Medicago truncatula: one gene and its partner. The protein of the gene in region 1 interacts with the protein of each later gene in a pairwise test. Links are inferred from orthologs where the notes say so. Each region holds a gene or a part of one and is shown in the gene's direction. Other genes may lie near its edges. The genes, in order: dual specificity protein phosphatase 1 and protein GID8 homolog.

The links.
Region 2: the proteins of dual specificity protein phosphatase 1 (region 1) and protein GID8 homolog interact in binary tests that used the Arabidopsis thaliana proteins (3 or more experiments, as listed by UniProt). The link is inferred for Medicago truncatula from reciprocal best matches to the Arabidopsis thaliana genes DSPTP1 and AT1G61150.

The regions. Positions count from the first base shown.
Region 1 is NC_053045.1:56,690,482-56,701,373, forward strand, and holds dual specificity protein phosphatase 1, read left to right. Parts: upstream 1-5,172; 5' UTR 5,173-5,299; intron 5,300-5,434; 5' UTR 5,435-5,437; coding exon 5,438-5,566; intron 5,567-5,652; coding exon 5,653-5,788; intron 5,789-6,931; coding exon 6,932-7,052; intron 7,053-7,989; coding exon 7,990-8,135; intron 8,136-9,280; coding exon 9,281-9,300; 3' UTR 9,301-9,679; downstream 9,680-10,892. UniProt on the Arabidopsis thaliana protein: Has a dual specificity toward Ser/Thr and Tyr-containing proteins. Dephosphorylates MPK4 in vitro.
Region 2 is NC_053043.1:3,308,284-3,319,921, reverse strand, and holds the start of protein GID8 homolog, read left to right. Parts: upstream 1-7,022; 5' UTR 7,023-7,179; intron 7,180-7,282; 5' UTR 7,283-7,357; coding exon 7,358-7,408; intron 7,409-8,296; coding exon 8,297-8,456; intron 8,457-8,552; coding exon 8,553-8,659; intron 8,660-10,131; coding exon 10,132-10,263; intron 10,264-10,487; coding exon 10,488-10,644; intron 10,645-11,638. Other genes in the region: helicase-like transcription factor CHR28, read right to left, coding at 1-129, 235-492, 799-877, 2,274-2,396.

The DNA.
Region 1 (10,892 bases):
AAACAAGTCATATTGTAGATAGCATGGTTGGTAATTGCTTTCTTGAACTCATCTTTGGTACAAAATCTGACTCCTAACACCCACTTAAAATTAGTCATCTTTTTAGGCATGGCAAATGGTGGATAATGTTCTTTGTCATCATCATCCTCTAAAAGGACTTGTTTGAAACGATTCAAAAACTAAAAGGACTTGTTTGAGACTTTTGAAACTTAAAGGACCACTTTGGAAAAAACGAAAAACTTAAAGAACCTTTAGATGCATTTGACCTATAAAATATTAAGAAGTTAGACCCACTTACTAAAATCCTTTATATATTTTTTTGGTTTAATCCTTTAGGTTCTCCTATTTCTGCGAGCTTTCAAGACCTAACTCACATAAATTTTTCTCATAAATATTAATAAGTAGAATTTGGTTAAATTGAACCTAAAATGTAAAAGTTTATGTTTTATGGCTAAGGTGGATCTATTACAGGCATTTTCTGACCTCAAATGCCACCAAATCCTAATTAAAGGGAAAAAAACATTTATTTAATTTATTATACTAGTATATGATTGTGATAGGCACAACTTGATGTCATAAATTTTATAAGAGTGAAATAATGATGGGCAAATTTTTTATGTGAGTTTAATAGGCTACCTATATTTGGAACATGATATTTACAAATTTCTGTCACTAAGGTTCTAACGTGGAATAACTTGGGCAGCCATGCAAAACCCACTTTCATATATGTTGAAGACTTCACATGATGAACCACATGGTGTTTGGACATGGACAGTGATTGATTATTAGAGAATATGAATGAATTTGCACAATGAAGTAAGTGGGGTTGGGGAGGGAGTATTTATTGAGTCTCACCTAGAAGAGTACAATTTCAGTTGCAGTTTGCATCTCACACATGCTTTCTTTTTTCTATATAGCTTTTGATTTTTGTATGGTAAGGGAAATTAATAATGGAGTGTAGGTGTTGAGAAGTTTTGACCAGAAGGGAAGGTTTTGATTCTTACATTATCGTTCAACTTTAACCTCTCCCTCTATTTATTTATTTGGTAGGAATTTTCATCTAACTAAGATTTTCCGCGTTCACGCATTTGGGATATTGTAAAGGATTGATTAACATTGGATTGTTTAAAAATATGTAGATTTTAATTTTTCTTTTATAGTTTAAAATGTGTGAATGTAAAAAATCTCAAATAGCAAGGAATCAAAATTCACTTGGGGTTGGACGAGATGCATACACACTTTAATGATCATCGTTATTCCAAACATTTAACTTCAGACATTACAATAGAAAGCAAGTGAAAATAAAGGCAGCATGCAATTGAATTTGAAGGACACAGTACATGAACATCTATTCAAGATGCCTCAGTTTCTTTTTCCTTTGTATATCCAGGCATTTTGTTTTTGGATGTTCTTGCTTTGTAAAAGATACTAGAATATTTTGGAGTCGGTGTGTTGAAATTGTAGGAAGTTTTTAGTATTTAACTTTGATTGATACGGTGGTAGTACCTTACCCTTCTTCTTGGTTTTACAACTTTTCTCTTTCGCAAAAGTATTCAGTTACCACTTCTCGCTTTCCTATTTAGCAATCCATGTAAAGTTAAGAAATACAAGTTGTTTAATCTAATTTGAATACAAAACATTGCAGTGCAAACTTCCAAATATTGCAGCAATTGAATACTCAGAGATACAAGTTAAGCTTGCTCATTCATGTTTTAATAATCTTGAGGAATAAAATATTTCAACACCTCAGCAGTTGCAAACTGAATTGATGAAAGCCTATACAGAAAACCCAATTTTGACATAAAGTGCAGACAAAAAAGACTTATCACCTATGATTTACTTCTACATTGGTTCAAAAGCTAATGTCTGTAAACATCTCCAAGCTTTGAAGATTCTGATTTTGTACTAACATAAACTGTACCTTGTATGACAATATTAGGGAACCATTTTTTTTTAGGTTAAATCTTTTTTTGATCCCTATAATTTATAAATATACTAAATTTTTATTTTAGTCACCTAAAATTTTTGTTCAAGATTTTAGTCCTTATAAAATTTCAATCATCACTTTTGGTCTTTATTTTTAAATCGGCTCATGTATTTTTTAATGAAATTGTGTAAAAAGGGTTAAATACGTTTTTAGTCCTTACATTTTGCGTCCCTTTGAAGAATAGTCCATACATTTCATTAAACCTTTTTAAAATCCTCACATTTTATCTCCGTTATCAAAATTAGTCATTGTTGTTAATTCTTTAACGGAATGCTGATGTGACAGTTAGTAGATCCCAATTAGTTTAAGATTAAATATGTTTTTGGTCCCTACATTTTGCGTGACTTTGAAGAATAGTCCTTACATTTTAATAAATGCTTTTAAAGTCATGCAAAATTTAAGGGCTAAAAACATATTTAACCCTTGTAAAAATCTCTCTTTTAACAAAACATGAGTTAAATATGAGTTTTTAACCGCAAAAAATATAAAAATTCATATTTAATTTATGTTTTGTTAAAAAATTCAAATTGTTTTTTGGAGAGATTCTATAATATTATAAATTTTTATGTAAAATTTTCTTCAAAAATATGAATTCTAGATATATGAGTTTACTTAAAATGAGAGACTAAAAGTGAAGATGCAAAATTTTGCGATGACTAAAAGTCGAAGAAATTTTTTAGAGGGATTAAAATGAGAAGTTGATATATTTATAGGGATTAAAAACATATTTAACCTTTTTTTTATTAGTGAAAAGAAGATAAAGAACACCCAACACCTAAAATCTTTACTTTTTTTTCTTTCTTTACATTTTTTTTTTAGGAAATTCTTTATACCACTTATATATCACAGTTCACACACTCATTATGATAAACCGACGCACTCATCAAAGTCATTTAGCGTGACAAGTTTTAAAATAAATGTGAAAAGCATAAAGAAGGAGCAAGAATGTTGAACACCATAGCTTTATATTTTTATATAGATATATATGATGATATGATTAAATTAAAGTTGTGATAATTTTCAAACACAAATCATTAGAGGAACCTTCACCCTCAAGATACACTACAAAGAGGTTTTCTTGTGACCAAACCAGATCTACAATTCAAATGATCCTCTCTTAAATATCATTCACAGACAAAAACAAAACAAAATAATCACATGTACAATATAGATGAGCAGGAGTAACATTCAACAGCAGAAAAACCACATAAAAATATAATTTTCTATTGATTAAAACACAAAGGTGTTGGGTTTAGGTATATTAATGCAGCTGATGAAGAAAAGAGTGAAAGAAGAGATAGCGAGAGGTGCAAAAATTTGTAGAGATCTACACTCATTAATTATTTTTTTAGCATCTGACGATATGGTAGTATTAAATTAGTCAATAGTTTATTAAATTACTCAATATAGCTGTTTTTTTTAAACATCAGTATAGTTGTTTATTCAAGTATCTTCACCCTTCTAGGATAGTGAAGAAGAAAAAAATTGGTGACGATTAAGGTTTGGAAAAGAGAGAAGCAAGGTCAAAGGTAATGGGGTGGCCAAGGGAGGTCGTCCCCCCCCCCCCCCCCCAATTTTTTTCTTAAAAATTTTATACTACTAATTTTATGCTATTTCACTAGTATTGTGAACGTGGTCCCCCGTCATTAGCTCTTTTGTTGGAGTCCTCGATTATTTGAACATTGAGCATTTGTCATTTATGAAAAAAAAGAACCCTTTAAGTATGTCAATTATAAAAGCGACAATAGAATAAAATAAGATATTTTTTCTTCTCACTTCCATTTTTTCTCCCTGCCATTTGAAAATACCAAAATACTCGTAGCGGTACATTGGAGAGGTGAACGATAGTTAAGTGTCACTCGACCCACAACAATTGCGAAAATAGAAAATTGGGGAATTGAGAAGAGTAACTTTCATAAACTAAATCAAATAAGTAAATATAATTTTTCTCTCTTCTCCTAATATTAACTTTAAATGTAGATTTATTAAAAAAAAAACATAAAATGTAGATTAAAATTCTTATATATGTAGTGCATTTGAGATTTTTTGTTTTGTTTAACTAAATATCTTTTAGTGCTCGTTTGGTTACCCGTTTTGTGGGTACAAACGTGAGTCTGAAGCACTCAAAAGCAGTTTTTCTATTTTTGTGGTGTTTGGGTAACTGCAAAAGTGATTCAACCCCCAAACTCACGTTTACCAGAAGCTAAAAGTTGGAGCTTTTCAAAAGCAATTTAGGAATTCAACTTTTGGTGGCTGATGTACTTTCCTAAATTACCCATGATATTCTTTTTCATTTTTCGACAAAGTTTTATAAAACACAGCAAAAGTGATGAATTTTTTGTTGCTCAAATTCTTTCTCGACCCTGTTTCTGCCTTCATGTTACCCAGCAAACTTCAACATTCTCTCTCTTTCTTTGAGAAAAGATGGAATTGGGTTTGTATTTATTTATTTTATTTTAATTTTCACAAAATGAAATTGGGTTTCATAGGCCTATTAGTTAATTTCTCCTCTTATGCAAGCCCATTACATTTTTTACAGATTCTTTTTTAAGAAAAAACCATTTGACAAAATTTGTTATTTTTTGTACAAAGAGAAAATTTGTTAATTAATATGTGTAAAAATATTTATATAGTATACCTAATTCAAATTAAAGTATCAAATTAACATGCATTTTATTTTAGAAGTTTTTCTAATCTACAAATAATTAAATTGATAATGCAACATAAATTTGAATAATTATATAAAATAGAAACAAAATATAATTTTAAATAGATATTTATACTCATTTTGGTAATTATGCATTCAAATAACAAGAATTCTAAGAATCAATTCACATTCAAGTCACTTTTTTTCAAAAATCAATTTTATCAAACTCAATTCTATCAAAATCAATTATTTCCACCGCTGAACCAAACGCACACTTAAACATGTCCCCCCTTAACCGTTGTTAAATTTCTAGCTCGACCTGTGGAGGAAGAGATGACCAATTATTTTTCACTCAATTACTTTTATATATGTACATATCTTTTTCTTATTCAAGTTAATTTTGTATTTCATAAAAGACAAATTATTCAAATGAAGCTCGTTTCGATTTATGTGTGGAACAATTTTGGCTAGATTAAAAAATGAAACGCAAGAATTAAAATTAAAAATAGAAATTTCAAAAGGATAAAAAATTCTATATAAAAAAAAGAGACTAAAATTGGCATTTTAATGGGCTAAATAAATGTTCTCTACTTCTCATATGCAAGCAAGGAGAAAAAAAAAAAAAAAGTGGAGTTTCTCTATGCAAAATCGTAAACGCTTTATTGGTGAGTTCTTCTCCTTTTCGTACTATCAGTTCAAGTGTTTATATTCGCCAGAATTTGATTATATTCATCACAATCGATTATTTATATATCTTTAACAGTTAACACTGATACGATTATTGAATTTGTATGAATTAGGAAATGGCTTCAACATCAGAAGCTATGAATGAATTCGACGAATCGATGAAGAAACAAATTGCATTAATTTTGAAGGTTGTGCTTTTGAATAAATCCTTGAAAGAGGATAATATTCCTTGTGAAATTGACCAGGTAGTTTACTTAATCAAGCTTCATTTTGTTATTATCTTCACTATTCTTCTGAATTTTGTAACTAATGATGAATGATATTTGGTTAGGGTTTGTTTTTGGGTTCAGTTGGTTCTGCTACGAACAAGGTTGGTTTAAAAAATGTGAATGTTACTCACATTTTGACTGTGGCTGGGAAACTTGCACCTGCACATCCTGCCGATTTCGTCTATAAAGTTATAGATGGTATGTTTCTTTTATTATTACTTATTGCACTCACACGGTCACCATACATGACACTGACACATTGACACTAGTAAAAATTTGAGAAAATGAATTAACTGAACGTAATCACATATCCAATGTGGTGTCGGTGACACGCCTTTAATCAGGGATGTCGGTGTTACATAGATGATCTGGAACTGATTTTGACAATGATGCGGTTTTATTCTTTTTGATTTTGGTCTTTCGGAGCTGTTGGTTTTGTGGCTATCAAAGTAATGCAAGTGAATTCACTATATAATGGACTAAACAAATGGATAGGGTGTGTTTGGAAATACATATCTTCATCAATAATGTTACAATATTAGTCAAAATATAAGGTTGAGGTTACCTATTTTTATTAGTAAGATGATTTGGATGTTAACTTTTGTTACCTTATTGAGGTTCTCAGTTTCCATGTTTATGGATTATTTGAGTTGTATTGCATTTAATGTAAGGTTTATTTAAAGAAATAATGTTAAAATAGGGCAAAAGGAAGGAAGTGGTGGTAGGGTGGGTTTTACAGAACACCGATTAGGACAGGGTCGGGTACCTAATTTTTATTTTGGTGACAATGGAGTGGGTTTTGGGAGGCGGGTTCAGGTGGAGAGCAAAACCTTGACTCCATGACCATTGCGTGCTTTGATCTATAAAAGTTTAGCATTTTCTTTGCAATTATGAAAAAGCGTGCTTTGATCTTTGAAAGTTTAGCATGTGTTGAGATTGTTCCATTACTCGACATTTTCAATAGGAGAGAAATTGATGTAATATTTTTTTTAGTTATTCATCTCTCTCTCTCTCTCTCCCTCCTACTAGATGTGTCGAGTACTAGAGAGAGGATCTCAATCTGTTTAGCATGCAGTTGCTGTCAAAAAATTTCCTTCTATCTTAGAAATTGTATTTTGTTATAATAGATGTTATCATCTCAGAATGTCAGTTCCTTTTTAACCGACTCGTGTAATATTGCGATCAATTAAATGAGACTGCACAACATTTCAGGTCCATGTTGCTTGTCATTAAGGTTGATTATGATTATATTGATTACACTCTAATTTTGTCTTAAGTTTTTTAGGCATCTAGTACACAATATCCATACTAAAGTTACACTTTTGTTGGAAAATTGAGAAGTTGCTGACAAAGAGGATACCAACTTAAAACAACACTTCGAAGAGTGTTTTGATTTTATTGATGAAGCTAAAAGTAATGGTGGAAGTGTTTTGGTTCATTGTTATGCTGGAAGATCGAGGAGGTAAGTTTCGCTGTTTATATCTTTCTCTCTTGCTTACATAGGATCATTTCTTGTTCATTGTACAGACTATTATTTTACTTTAGACAAGTGTCAATAAGTTGAAATCTGTTTTATGTCTCAATCATCTCAGGCATTTTTGTTTTGTTTTGGTTTAAATTTCTGGAATGTTGTTTCTCAAGCAAAAACTGGGAGCAGCACATTGCATATTTGAATTTCAATGTTTCTTAAAATCCTTACATTTTTATTTTGTTATCATTGTCTTTTATTATTCAATAGCAGATATTATGTTTTGCTTATAAAGTTGGGAAAATGTCATGGAAGCTTATAGCTTTTTAATTATGTCTTTAGTTCAATGATACTATCTCTTGAAATCCATTGTAATAATGTTCTGAGTATGGCCATATATATGTGATGCCATGTGGAATTTGAGGATATGATTGTTGAGCTAAATGTCAAATTGTTTCATATATGGAAAATGACAAACCTTGTTGATGCTTTGAAAATTACAGATATGATTTTTTTTTTGTTTTCCCTGTCATTATTGTTTTCTTTTCCAGAAATCTGCTTTCATGTCGATCTTTTCCGTTTGAACTTTGACATATTAAACATTTGAACTGACAATTGAAGTGTGCATGCTTCTCAATGAAATAGACTAAAAATGCTTTATAGTATGAATTGAGATGCCATCGATTTTTTTAATATGTAGAATGGAAAGTTAGGGATGTAAGCTTGAGATTCATGAATGATGATTATGTCCTTGTTTACTATTGGCCTGTCACTTATATTCTGCACAAAGTTCATGCAGCATTTTACTACCTCCTTTTTTAATGGTCATATTGGAACTAAGAATCTTGGTATTCATATTGTTCATTTGGCTATTTTCTTTTTCATTAGATTAACTGGAAAAACTTGGTTCTAATTTATTTCCACCTTCTAGTGTGACTATCATTGTGGCATATCTGATGAAGTCTCGGGGAATGAGCTTATCTGAAGCTCTGCAACATGTAAAATGCAAAAGACCACAAGCAACTCCAAATCGTGGTTTCATTCGTCAGCTGGAAGACTTTGAGAAATCTCTTCAAGGTTAAAACTGTATTAATCTTAAATATAATTAAACATCAACATGCCAATATATATATATATATATATATGGGGTTTGCTAGAACACACCCACTAATTTTTATGTGGGAGTGTTTTAGCAAAGCTACACCTTAAGGTGTATTTAACCACTTTTTAGTTATTCACTTGCTAAAATACTCCTTCTAAAAAATAAGTGGGTGTATTCTAGCAAATGCCTATAGGATTTGCTAGAACACACCCACTTGTTTTTTTAGAAGGTGTGTTACAGCAACATACACCTTAAGGTGTATTTATTAACTTTTTAGTTATAACTTACTAAAACACTCCCACATAAAAACTAGTGGGTGTGTTCTAGCAAATCCCTATATATATATATATATATAAGATACATTTAGATCTTATATAGATATTAAATGGATACACCTCTATAGCCATGAAGATACATTTACGATTTACATTTAGCACATGTAAGAGCTTGTGTAAAATATAAGGAGTCACTTCACTTTACATAAAAGCTTTTATAATGCTTATTGCTTAAACTGAAAGAAAATTGACTTGTATATAATATAGTAATCTAGCAGAGTGTGCATGGTAAAGGAAGTATAAAGGGTTTTATAATTATCCACTAAACATCATTGTTACCATTGTCATACAATTTTTGCATAAAGAATGATACAATCACATAAGAGTTTGACTAACGATCATGTCTTATAAGCATATAAGCTATATTCGTGTGTGTATGTGTGTGTCTCTATTTCATTATGATCTTTATCAGATATTTAAGCATATGTGCTCATTTTTCTGTGAAACTTTGATTTGAACATATCTCTTTCCTTTATTTTATATTTTTTGTAATATCTAAATTTTAATGCATGACATTATGTATATGAAATATTAATGCAATTCTGTCAAATTGGATCTTCCTGGGTTTTTCAAATGGTAGATCTATGTTTTAATTTATATATACCTTCGCTGACTTTAAAAATACCGCTGTTCTCTTTATATGGTTTTCCCCCTTCATTTTCTTCACTAATGGACTCCACATTTCTTTTGTTCTTCATATAGTTTTATGAACACTGATTCAAATTCAAACTAAAAGTAGTTTGTGTGAACATATCATTGATTGTATCTAGTTTGTTTTTGTGAAGATATCGAAGTGTCTGGATAGAGAACATGATGGTGATCAGACAAGGTAGTGTAGATGATTAGCGTGACTCTGGCAATCATGTGAAGACAAGGCAGCATCAGTTATGGATTGGCACTGAAACTTCATCCTCAGGTGCGGAAGTCCCAGTTTATAACAACTATGAATTGCTACTATGCATACCAGCCTATTTCATGAAATGTTGAATTCGATCTGTCTTCTCTCATTCCATGTTTCTGTAGTGTTTAGGAAAAATGGCCTGTTAGGAAAAATTAACTTTGTTAGAGGGGATATACTTCTCCAGAAACATTTACGAAAACCAAAATATTAAAATAATTGCAACGAGTACTCAATTTTTAAATAGCAGCTTTTGTTTGAGAGTATTCTTGAGCTTTTTGGAACATTTTTCTGTTTTATTTTCAAGGGATGCACCTAATAGTACTTGAGTTTTTGAAGTGGATATTGTTCAGTATATCCAAGCTGAACCCAATTAGGCAAGTCCAATATCGGATTGCCCACACTCGTTGTTGACCCAAACTGATAAAAGAAAGGGTAAATATCATCTCCTCTCCACGACTGGGAGCTACCGTGCACACTCTGATTAAAACCTGTGAGCACATGATGAGAAGAAATTACCACCTCTTGTCTACCCATGGGCAACACCAAAGGTTCCAACCAGGAAAGACCCGTGATGGTCACTTCCACCCACACGATGATTGAATGAAAGGAGAATTGGCCCATTATCCCGAGTAATATAACTCAGAGAGGAGGCAAATAATAGCTACAAATAGGACACGTGTAGATGTTCATAGGCATTCCGCATTTTAGACTATCAAATGTAGAGAATTTTTGTAACCTAATAAATTTTGTTGTCTTGTATTCGAATGTTATTGTCTTGGGTTTAGTTCTCATTCTTAGTGCAATGACATTTGAGAGCTTTTTTCACCCATGGTTCTTAAAAAACGGTCTTGTCCTGCTCATGGAATTTCCCTAGTTGAGACCCCAGTACCTCACACCCAAATGATGAGAGTTGCCACCACTTCCTTTGCCCACGAGCAAGACAATTTAATTAAAGGAGAAACTATCCACTATACCAAGTAACGTAATTTAGAGGAGGTAAATGAAGGTTATCAATAAGACGATTGTAGACGTTCATAAGCACTAGACATTTTAGATCACCAAAGAGATTTCTTTTAACTTGATAAATTTTAGTCTCTTGTATTCAAATGTTGTTGTCTTGGCGGGCTTAGTCTCCGTCTTAGTGCAATAACATATCACACTGGGGAAAATAATGAAAATTGAAATGCCATAAACGAATACTTGAGGTCTAATAATTACATTTCAAATCATCTATTTCTTTACCCAAAAATCATCTAACTTAGGAGGGTCATCAAGTCTAGAGTTTAATATGTTCGCTCTTACTCTTGATAAGTTATTTACGTCGGAATAAGAATGAATTTATTTTTTCTGGAAAAAAGTGGACTGGTCATAATGTGGTTAATACCATCCATGGAGGCATGGGTGCAGATTGCGAGATCTCTCAAAGGTCCTCGTCCATCTGACAATGTTTAAGTTGAATTGTGACATCGTTTTGTTCAGGGAGATATGTGGGCTGT
Region 2 (11,638 bases), on another chromosome or scaffold:
ATGGCATTTCAAAGGATGTACAGGAGTCATTTTCTGGCTGCCTAGAAACTCCAATTGTGTCTTTCAAAGCTGTTCCATAATCTTCAAAAGTTCCATCAACATTCTCAATGATAGAGCTGTGTGAAGCATCTGCAAGCAGAACAATTAATCAAACTATTGCCCAAGCTTCAGATATGACAAAGATAAGAAATAATGATGGAAATCTAATGATAAGCCAGTAAAGATTTTGCATACATTCAGATTCCACATCATCTACCACATGCTTGATTTGGCTATAATCGTCATCCTTCCACAGACTCGGGTTCGAACTTGTGCCCACACTGTAAGAAGGCATCTCATGTTCAGAAACTCCTGCCCTTTCTGCATAGCAAGTTTCATCACTTTCAGCAACAGAGAACGAGTCCCTGTAACCACCAGCAAAAACATTTGGGGAAGAGCAGGTCCGTGATGAAGGTCCCTGGTTTTCATGTTCGGAGTCAAGCAAGGAATTCCCTGCAGAATCAGATAAATGAATTGAGCCCCGGGTCTCAGAATATTATTCATCTTACCATAATTTTTAACAGCCTATGGCTGAACCTACTAAAGTCTAGTCTAGGAAAAAGTGCTTATTCAAACACACTTGAGAGCCTAGGCAATAACAATCTGCTCTAACATATTAACAACTACGTATTACGCGTACAAAATTCAGAAAGAAAATAAACTCAAGAAATTCCTAATCCTCAATTTAGAGGGACCAGTTACAACCTATAAGGTCAAGAATCAATGACACCACAAAAAAGGGCTCAGAAGTTTACATACCATTTTGAAGTAAAAAATCATCATGGATCCCAGATTCACCAGGTGAAACGTCTTTCAATGAAGAATCCTCGGGACTACTCTGCAGCATTATATCCAGAAAATTATTAAAATTGGTGAGATGTTCAAATAAAAATTTAAATAGAGACAGCAGGAATGGTATATTTTCAAAGAGGAGCATAAAGTAACATAAAGCAGTGACTTCCTGGTCTCCATACAAGAAATTGAGCTCTTTTCTCTATGAGAATCTACACTAACTACTTACCCAGCACATCCGAAATTTAACCAAAATTAATGAGTGACACGACACTACATAAAATTGTAAAATAAATATCAATTATCCTTCTACGTTACAATAAGGAACTAGACCAAAGGTACAGGAAAAATGTAACAATTTCTTCATGTATATAGTGTAAAGATGAAGACATTCAAACCAGCAGAAGCAATTCAAGGAATCTTTCATCTTTTAAATATCAAACCAGCAGAAGCAATTCAAGGAATCTTTCATCTTTTAAATATCAAAGCTGGCTTTCACGGTAGGGATTCTAAAACTCCGGACGTTCCTCCAATTTTAGCAAAACTGGTTTGACTATAGTAACAACGATTCGAATCTCGGACAAAGCATGACTTGAATTTCCTTGTAAAAAAATTGCACTGGATTTTTTCTACTAAACTAAGGGCTTGTTTGGATTGGCTTATTTGAGCTTATCTACTGACGTAAGTTTTGTGAGACTGTTGGGGAGAATTTAAAAAAAAAAAACAGCTAATGACATTTCTCATAAGCTTTTTCAGCTCGTTTTCATAAGTTCTTCAAGATAGCTTAAAAATAGCTTATAGATCTTCAATATAGCTTGAAAATAGCTTATAGCATACACAAAACCAATTCAACTTTATTTTATCCCTTGCTGTAAAAACAGCTTATGTATGCTTATACATAAGCACTTTTCATGATAATCACTTGTGCTATAAGCTGAAAATAATTTGTTTATACATAAGCGCTAAGCGTTTGTGCTATAAGCTGTTTATCCAAACAGGGCTTAAACCACTTCAGAGCTACTTATTCAGTATCTACATACGTAAATTAATGTGCCTAAAATCTCCAAAGTTGTAACACTCATAATGAAAACCTTAGACAAAATATAAAATAGATATTTACGTGAATCGGCCAATAATTTCCCTTTTCCCTTCATTCATCATCGGTGTTTATGACATCTACAGCGGCGAATAGCCGAATTTTTAAAATCTACTATTTCCCGCTACCAGCAATTGACAACATTGTTTATCATAGTAAAAATCCAATCTTTGAAAAATAATTACAAATCAAAACGCAAAAGGAAACCAATTTAACAGTAAAATTTCAAAAAACAAACTGCAAATCAAATAATCCTACTGAATCAAAGAAAAAATATACATGCAAGTACAATCAAACCGTGAATAGTTGAATTCCACAACCCAATCGTAATTCACAGTGACCCTACCTCTGAAGGAACACAATCTTCATCAAGAACGCTGAGAAACGATTCAATATCCATTGCAAGCTTTTCATCATCGGAATCATCATCAGCAAACAGTGTCGAAAATTGAAATCCATCATCCGCCATGTTGAATTGAAATCAAAACCCTAATTCGCTTTTTCCAAAACTACGAAACTGATTCACGAAATCTAAAAGTAACAACGCGTTGTATCGCATTCTCCGAAGAGACCAAAGCGAGAAAGAAAATGGATTATGGCAATTTCGTGAAGAATCAATGGAGGTTTCTGAGAAGGTTCGTGATGTGAATTTGCGACTTTTTGTTTAGAGAGAGAAAGTTATTAGAGAGAGAAAGGAAAAAAGAAGACAAAGTTGAATCGTGGATTGTGTCAAGTTAGGTTTAAATAGGGTTTGGGATACGTAAGAGGGTGCGCATGTTAAGAGATGTGCGCATGTTATAGTGAGCGCGCGGTTATGAATAAATCAATCAATACGACGTCGTTTTAGTGGCTGCTATTACTATAACTGTGTGTGTTACTAGGAGTTGGATTCCTCATGAGTCATTTTCGAATTTTCCATTTCTCATTCATTTTCTAGTCTATCTTTTTCTTCTTCTTTTTTTTTTTAACATTTTATTTGACGGTTTTTTTTTTATATTGATGTGCTCTTTTATTGTACATTGAATTTTGAATTATTTTTTATTTGGTGATTAATAAATTACGTTTAAATTAAGGAAATTGTTATTAGATTTTCACTTAATTTCTATTTTGTTGGTATCATTTAATTGAAATTTATTTTTTTAAGAAGCCAAAAGCACAATAATTATTATATAAAAACATTTTTATTTGAAAAAAATATAAAAATATAAAAACATATAAAGCACAATAAGTGTCTAATACGTATGGAAACAATGTATCAGTATACATAATAAATCGTCCAAAATGACGGATCGGACCACCAAGAATGCAAATCGTAAAAATAACAAGATTTGTAAGTTTTTAACCACCGCCAATAATGGAGATTGATGTGGTCAAAAAGTTGATCTTGAGAGGTTTGCTTATTGCGAAAAGAAAAAAAAAAAATCTAGAGTTGCACTCTTTTCAAATGACTCATATGCAAATCAACCAAATCACGTGAAAGTTAAATTGAATATCATTTTTGAAAACATGTATGTCACCAAACTGTAGATCATGAGAACTGATATCGGTTGGATGAATGGTAAACACACTCAACCAACTTTAATGATAAATGTCGACAGAAGCTTACATCCTTAAAAAATAGAAAATTGCTAATTGCTGAGAAAAAATAGGAAAAATGTTAATTAGTTGCGGTGATGTTTTGTTTTTTCAAGAAGATTTTGCAAATGATCTTGCACATTTTAAATGTCGAGAAACATAGAATTTTCGGTTTAAACACAGTTTTATACTCCTTTCGTTCCTTTTTAAGCGTCTCTTTATAGTGAATTTTTCGTTTCTATTTAACTGTCTTTTTGATATTTTCAGGGTAAGATTTGTCAATTATAGAATTTGTCAATTACTTTTATTTTTTCAATAAAACTAATTATTGCTATCTATTTGAAAAACTAAAGTTTGTTTCTCATTATCTTCAAATTTAAACAAATTTTGTTCCAAACAATGGTTCCAATAAGAGTTTAAATTCTAAAAATAAGATAAGTAACAATTATTAAAAATTTCAAGTGTGACTCTAGCATTGGTTGAAGCCATAGTTGAAGCCTTAACTTTGATTAAAGGAGTTGGAAGAAAGTTAATTTTTTCTTAACTTTTGATTAATGTGAAGTTGGAATAATTTTTATATTGACTTAAAATAATCAAAAAGATGTGCACAATATTTAGAAAATTGACAATTGTTTGTTAAGAGAGAAAGATAACATATTAAATTGATTGAAAATATAAAATGTGTGCAAAAAGTAGGAATTTATTGATGAATTAAAATGAGGGTATAATAGGAAGAAAATGTGCAAAAATACACATCGTTGTTTTGATGTTAATTTTCTAAAAAGAACATAAAAAAAATGGAGGGAGTATATATCAATGTCTTAAAAAAAATTCAAGTATTATTTGTTGTTAAAAAAAAAAAAGTAACCAACTTTCGGTTACGTAACCGCTTCTTTTAAGGGAGTTACAAAATTCGTATACATGTTAAAAAAAAATAAATAACAAAAATAAAGAATATTCATTCATTCAAATTGATAGAATACATCAGAGACAATAACATGATCAATATCGCTAAAAACGTATAGGGTGAATCTGCGAATAAACTCACAGCACCCAAGTTAATAGCATACAACGGCAAAATGACTACAAATAATATGATGAAATATAAATCACCAGAATACCCATGCTTCTGGATCTGCAACGTTAACGCCCAAATCATTGATTGAATTTGTGATTGTCTGAAGTTGATATTTCAATACAAACCAAACGAACACCGCACAACAAAGGATGCTAAATCAAACAACGCCGCACAAGACGACAAATAACACAACGTCGCACTAAGACGACGAAATCACGAAAAAACACGAAAGAAAAACTTGATGTATGTGAAAATCACTTATTTAGATTGAAATAAAGGGGAAAAAAGATGCAAAGGGGTGATTCTAGGTCAAAAATTGACCTAAAATCACCCCTCCTCGACGAGTGGAAGAGGAAAAAAACTTAGAGGGAAGACAAAGTTTTTCTCAGTAAAAAATTAGGGTCGGTTATACATGTTAAAATTTATATTAGCAGATATTTGTACAAGGTGATAATTTGATGGTAAAGAAAATGGCAAGTTTGTTTTGAGGAATAAGAGTTTTTAAAATAAGAAATATTCTTACTAACTCCAATATTATAGATGATTGAAATTACTATTAAAATTTAACAAGGACTAAATGTAAATGTTCGTGATTTTACAGGGGTTGAAAACATATTTGACTATATTTTTAATTTATAACAAACGAGCACTAACCCATAATTTAAGGTCGCCTAAGTTTGAGTTATGCTAAGGGCATTGTTGCACTTGCCTAAAACCGACCATGGTCTAACCCGTTGGTAAAATTACAATATAATTCTTAATTCTCTTTTCATTTCTAACCTGTTGTCTTCAACCTTCTCTTTAGTTCTTCCTTCAACCTGTTGTCACATACATATAAAATTATGGTGATAATATAAGGGTCTGGTGTTGAACCTTGGTGCAATCCTATTATTATGAAAAAATCTTTGGTGTCTCTACCTTGTATCCTCACACTAGTCGAGACCACCTCATACATGTCATTGATAGCTCTGACACAAGTCTCCCTAATACCTTTATTCCATAGGGTTTTCACAAAACCTTTTTAGGCACTATATCATATTTAACTCTTAAAAGATTATTTTTTTGTATTTCTAGAAATTATTTTTAAGAAAACTTACTAAAAAATAATATAAGTTGTTTCAAACTCATTTAATAGAAATTAAAAGCGGTGTAATGTTGACATTCACAGACTTAAATATTCGTTATTAGAATTTTTCTTTTTAACAAGGATAACCTTAGTTCATTTCATTCATAATCAAGGAATAGAAAGTAGTTGGCACATGATGAAAATTATGGGCGCTAGGTTGTGATAAAGAAGTTCTAGCTATGTTATGGGTCACTTCATTTGTTTGCCTCGTAATATACAACACTCTAAAGTCGGACTTTGTAATCAAGATGTTCCTACATTGAGAAATTATGTCTCAAATTCATTGAGGTGAGCTGAATTGTTATAAGTCACAAATTTTTCTTAAAAAAAATATATCTCTCGAAAATAATTTTTATGACCACTTGTTCAAAATAACTTCTTATTTTAAGCTTCTGAAAAAAATCTCATTTAAAGCTTTCCTTAAAAAACAATTTGTTGAAAAAATTATAGGCGAAAAAATAAAACAATATAAATATTATTTTTAAAAACTATAACAAATGGGTCCTTAATATGTAATCTTGAAGTTGTATTTTGATGTCACACACATATTGTTTTCGTTCCATAATAAGTGATCTATTTATAAAAAATAAATTGTTTCAAAATAAGGAACCTTTTTAAATTTTCAAGACAATATTAATTATTTTTTTAAGTTATACCCTTTAATTGATATCACTTGCATCTCTCTTAATTTAGTATTTTCTACTTTTCATTTGTTATGGTGACGAAACACAAATATTTTGATAATAGTATCTAGTAAAAATATTTTTTATCTCTATTTTATTTATATATACTTTTCTTAATATATGTAAAATGACCTGACAAAGTAAAATGTCGTAAAAGTTCACTCATCGTTGTTATGTCAAGATTTTTATTTTCCAAGGCATCATGTAATAACTGCTTGCACCACATTGTTCTTAGAGCAAACATGTTTAATGCACATTTTTTAAAAGAAAACAATTCAAATACGTCATATACATTCACATACATTGTCAATGAAATTAATTAACACATAAAATTACCAGGTCAACCTTATTATAGATTTTGTAAAGGTTATCTACATCATCTTCTCACACTGCATGAGAGACACCACAAACATAAAGATCTAAGGTAAATTTTGTTTAGAAGGTCACTTATTTTAATTTCTTTTTTGTATTTTTAATTTTTTTTTAATGTTACTCTTGATACATCAAAACAATTATATATTATACGTTGTTCATCTGTTTTAGATATTCGCACTTTTTTTTTGGAGCTAAATTTATCGAAGGGGAGATATTATGTGTGATACTGGGGGTGTGGATAGCAATAGGCTCTACTGTTAAAACCTATAAAAACAAACCCGACCCATACAAAAACAGCGGAATCCGAACTCAATCATCGCAAAAGATCGAACAAACAAGTTCTCGGAATTCAGAGAACCGTACATACTACGACTTAAGAAGTTGAAATCGAAGTTCTAGAATTCTCCAATTTGAGGTGAATTCTCTCTTCTTCTTTCTGAACTTTTCCCTTTCGTTAATTATTAGGGTTTCAATTTTCAAATTATTGATCCGAAGAATGTGAGATTTTGTTTTTGCAGTTTTGATTGAATTATTCAAATCTTGAGGATTGGTGCGTCGTTCAGGGTTACAATGAGGTCTGTGCGTGTTCACTGATGTCATTGTTTTGGATTGTTATTCGTCAGCTAGCACAAATTGAGGCAATGGTATGTGTGGATTGATATTCACTTTATCTCATTACTGTTTATCTTAATTTCCCCCGAATTTTATATGTGGATTTCGATTTTTTTTTTTGTTAATTGTTGTAAGGTATAAATCTTTAATGTGGGTTTTTGCGAAGATCTTTAATTTGTGCTTGTTAAAGAATTCTGGTGGTGGAAGTTGCGTTGGATGTGTGGACCAGATAGGATTAGCAGCGACAATATTAGAGAGTGTCGGGGCAACTAACACCTATCACAGAAAAGATGGTGGAAACTTGACTATAGGTGGTTTGGGCATTTAGAGAGAAGACTTGTAAATTATGTAGTAAAGAGAGTAGATCATAGAGGAAGACATAAAAACTATACGAGAAACTATAAAGAAATATCTAGAGATTAACGAGTTGGATATAGAAATGATATACGGTAGAACATTATGGCGTCGTTTGATCCATATAGTGGATCCCACTTTGTGGGATAAGGCTTGGTTATTGATGTTGTTAAGAGTCCTGATGTTTTCTTTTTACATTCCGTTTTGTTGTGATTTTAAAGAGGTTTAGAAAAGGAGTTCAGATTTGTTTTATTTTGAGTTTTGATTTTTAGAAATGTTGTGGAAAGTGAAGATATGAATTTGTAGTTTACATGGAAGGTTATTGAATTGTTTTCTTGCATGTAAACGTTTAGCAAAACAAAATGATGCATCAATTTCTGTCATTTTGCATAAGACGGAAGTGTGTTTTATAAAGAGTCAAATAGTCTTTTTCTTAGAAGTGTTTCTATATTTGAACTGGTTGTAGACAATGTTGTGCATCATGGGTGATGGAAATGTAGTGATTCCCATGTGTTTCATGGTAATGGTAAACTAATGATTTTCATCTTTGAAATACATGTGTAAAGGCGGCATCAAAGAAAGTGATAACAAGGGAAGAGTGGGAAAAAAAGCTTAACAATGTCAAGATTAGGAAAGAAGACATGAATAAATTGGTAATGAATTTCCTTGTTACCGAGGGCTTTGTTGACGCTGCAGAGAAATTTCGCAAGGAGTCTGGAACTGAGCGTATCCTTTTTTCTTATTATTATTATTATTCTTCTTTTGGGGGAGGGGGGAATCTTTTTTGTAAATCAATCTATGCTTGCCCTTAATGATCTTCAGCTGACATTGATCTTGCTACAATAACTGATCGGATGGCCGTTAAGAAGGCAGTACAAAGTGGTAATGTTGAAGATGCAATCGAGAAAGTCAATGACTTAAATCCCGAGGTGAGCTTGCAATTCCTTTTTATACGAGAAGGAATTTCATTCTTCCAGATGCTTCAAGGAATTCATTCTCATATCACTTTTTCCCCCAATTTCATTATAACTGCGAAGTGCCACTTTCTATCTATATTATTCTTTCTTACTTTTAATGAGCAATGCACATAATGCATGACTATGGTCAAATTGATGCAGAATTTAAATAGGACATGACACCGCCTCTTTTATTTAGTTACTGTAAAAATATGTAAACTATGTGTGTCTATAATGAGATTACACACCTTGTATATTTATATGGTTTTACAATAATTGCATTTTAGTTCCTCAAAATATGTAAATTCTGTGTCTATAATGAGGTCACACACCTTGTATTTATATGGTTTTACAATAATTGCATTGAATGCTTGATGAGTACTGTAAGCACCAACTCCCTTGCTCTAGGAGTAATAACAATCAATCTAGGAAGTTGTACAATTAAAGGAATATCTGAAGATTCCTAATTTTTACAGTTACCTTGCTCTCTCCTGCCCTGCTACCCTTGCTTGATTTACTCACATGCTTATGAGGGCACCATAAAAATGTCAACAACATAGGTCTCAAAGTTCGGGTTAGACCTATAACTCAATCCCAAAAGCTGACTCGAGTGTTGTAGCTTAAGATAAGAGAACTAATTTGGCCATATTTATAGTTGATGCAGGATCTCAACATACCCTTTCAAGTTTGTCGTACTATACTATCTTTAATTGCTTAACATCGTGTGCTTATTAGGATGATATCATAAGAATATCAGCAATAGAGGTCTTAGAATTTGGACTAGACCTAGCTCAATTCCAACAGCTATCTCACAAGAGCTGCTTTTGTAATATAGCTAGTGGATATGGGAACTAAACCCACCCCTTCAAACCCAATATTAGACTTTTGGAGTATGGACAAATGTGGATGGCTCATTAACAACTAGGGTAGGCTTTGATGCTGTCTTAGACTTTGTTAGACTCAACCTAGCATCTTAAGCTAACTCAAAAGGCGAGGATTGCTTGTGCTTCATATGAAGTACTCTGGCCATAACTCCAGTTGATGTGGGATCTTGATAAAAGAGGATATAACTTGCATAAAAGTACTGATATTAAATTTGGATTATCTTCTTTAGTCCTATTTATTTTCTTTTCACTGGGCTTCAAAGTTGTTGTTTTCCACCCCTTATATTTTTTTCACTTTTTCTCAATTTTTTTATAGGTCCATTTGGTGTCATAAAAGATTTGTTTTTTTTAATGAAAAATTGTGTGGAGATCTCATTTTCCATTAGTTTTTTTGGTGACAACTCCCTCTTTTTGTCCTTGTCACCCTCCCCCCCCCCCCCCCCCCATTCCTAATGTATGTAGAAGTCACAAAACATTTTGTACTCATCAGAGCATTCATTGATCTTTGTCTTATCCACATGTTCTATAAAATTAACATTCATTGTGTAATACTGTCTACAGATACTAGACACAAACCCCCAATTATTTTTCCATCTTCAACAGCAGCGGTTGATCGAACTAATCCGGAATGGAAAAATAGAAGAAGCTTTAGAGTTTGCACAGGAGGAGCTTGCCCCAAGGGGAGAGGAAAATGTAAACCATTCTAATGAATTTTTTCGCGTGTATATTGTCATATTATATCTTCATTGCGGAAGTATTTCTGGCATTTTTATTGACGGGTTATTAACAGTGAAATAGGAAAAAGCAATGATTGCCTATAGTCAGGAAAAAGCAAAATAGGAACTAAAATATCTATGCTTTTTCAATTTTTTTTGGAAGAACTTGATGCTAACACTAGCTTGAAATTTGGGTTCCAGCAAAGCTTTTTGGAAGAATTGGAGAGGACTGTTGCACTGCTTGCCTTTGAAGATGTCTCTAACTGTCCAGTTGGAGAGCTTCTTGACATATCACAGCGTCTAAAAACAGCAAGTGAGGTGAATGCAGCTATACTTACAAGCCAGAGTCACGAAAAAGGTTTGTGTTTGCTTCAAAAAGCTGTTTTTTTTTGTGTGCATAAATACAAGCTTTGCTAGATTCACCCCAGTTAAACAGCCACTATTCCTTTATTGTAGCGCTTGTAAGCGGTTAACTTTCTGAAATATTTGCCTGCTTTGATAAATCTAGATTCTAAGGAATGCCGAGAAGGCTTACTATTATTCATATGCCAGGATCAATCATTTTGTAGCTAGTTGTATTCTTAACATTTTTGGTATACCATGGTGGCAATATGTTTTAAACATGCGACAACCTGATGCAAACTACCAAAACCCTTCACAATTTGTCTAACTCTAGTACTAGTAGTTCAGTTGATTTCCTTTGCATGCCGTTGGGAATTCATGTTATGTTTATATATGTCCCTCATTTTTTTTTTTGAATGGCAATATATGTTCTACATCTATTCATCTGGAAAGATTTTGCTTTGTGGTTTTCAACTTCTGCAACCAAATTATGATTGGAATCTGATAGAAACTGATACCAAAATACAAATTAATAGTAATACTACAATAGGATCTCAAGAAATTTGTGAGTATTGGTCACTCATTCCAAGAATTCAAGAGCCTTGGTCTCTCCCTACCAATCCTTTATCCAAATTACCAAATGCTAATCTTTCCCTCTGCATCATTATTTATAATGCTAACTCCTTCAGTTACATAGAAGTTATGCAGATAACAGTTATTAATATCTAATATTACTAATAATTATACAATATATTAAATAAAAATTTACTTATATAAGTTCTGCCCGTAGGAGGCTTATTACTAACAGAATCCATTTGACTTGAAAATCCATTGGATTTTTCTTTCTTTTTTTGATATGACAAACCATTTTGTTCATGCTCAACACGCGGATAATGAAGTGTATAATATACGAGGATGATAACAAGCTAAGATCCAGAACTGAGTTTGAAGTATCACTGGGTTGCTGCTGTTAGACTTCAATTTGTTTTATTTCTTTCAATCTTAATCGT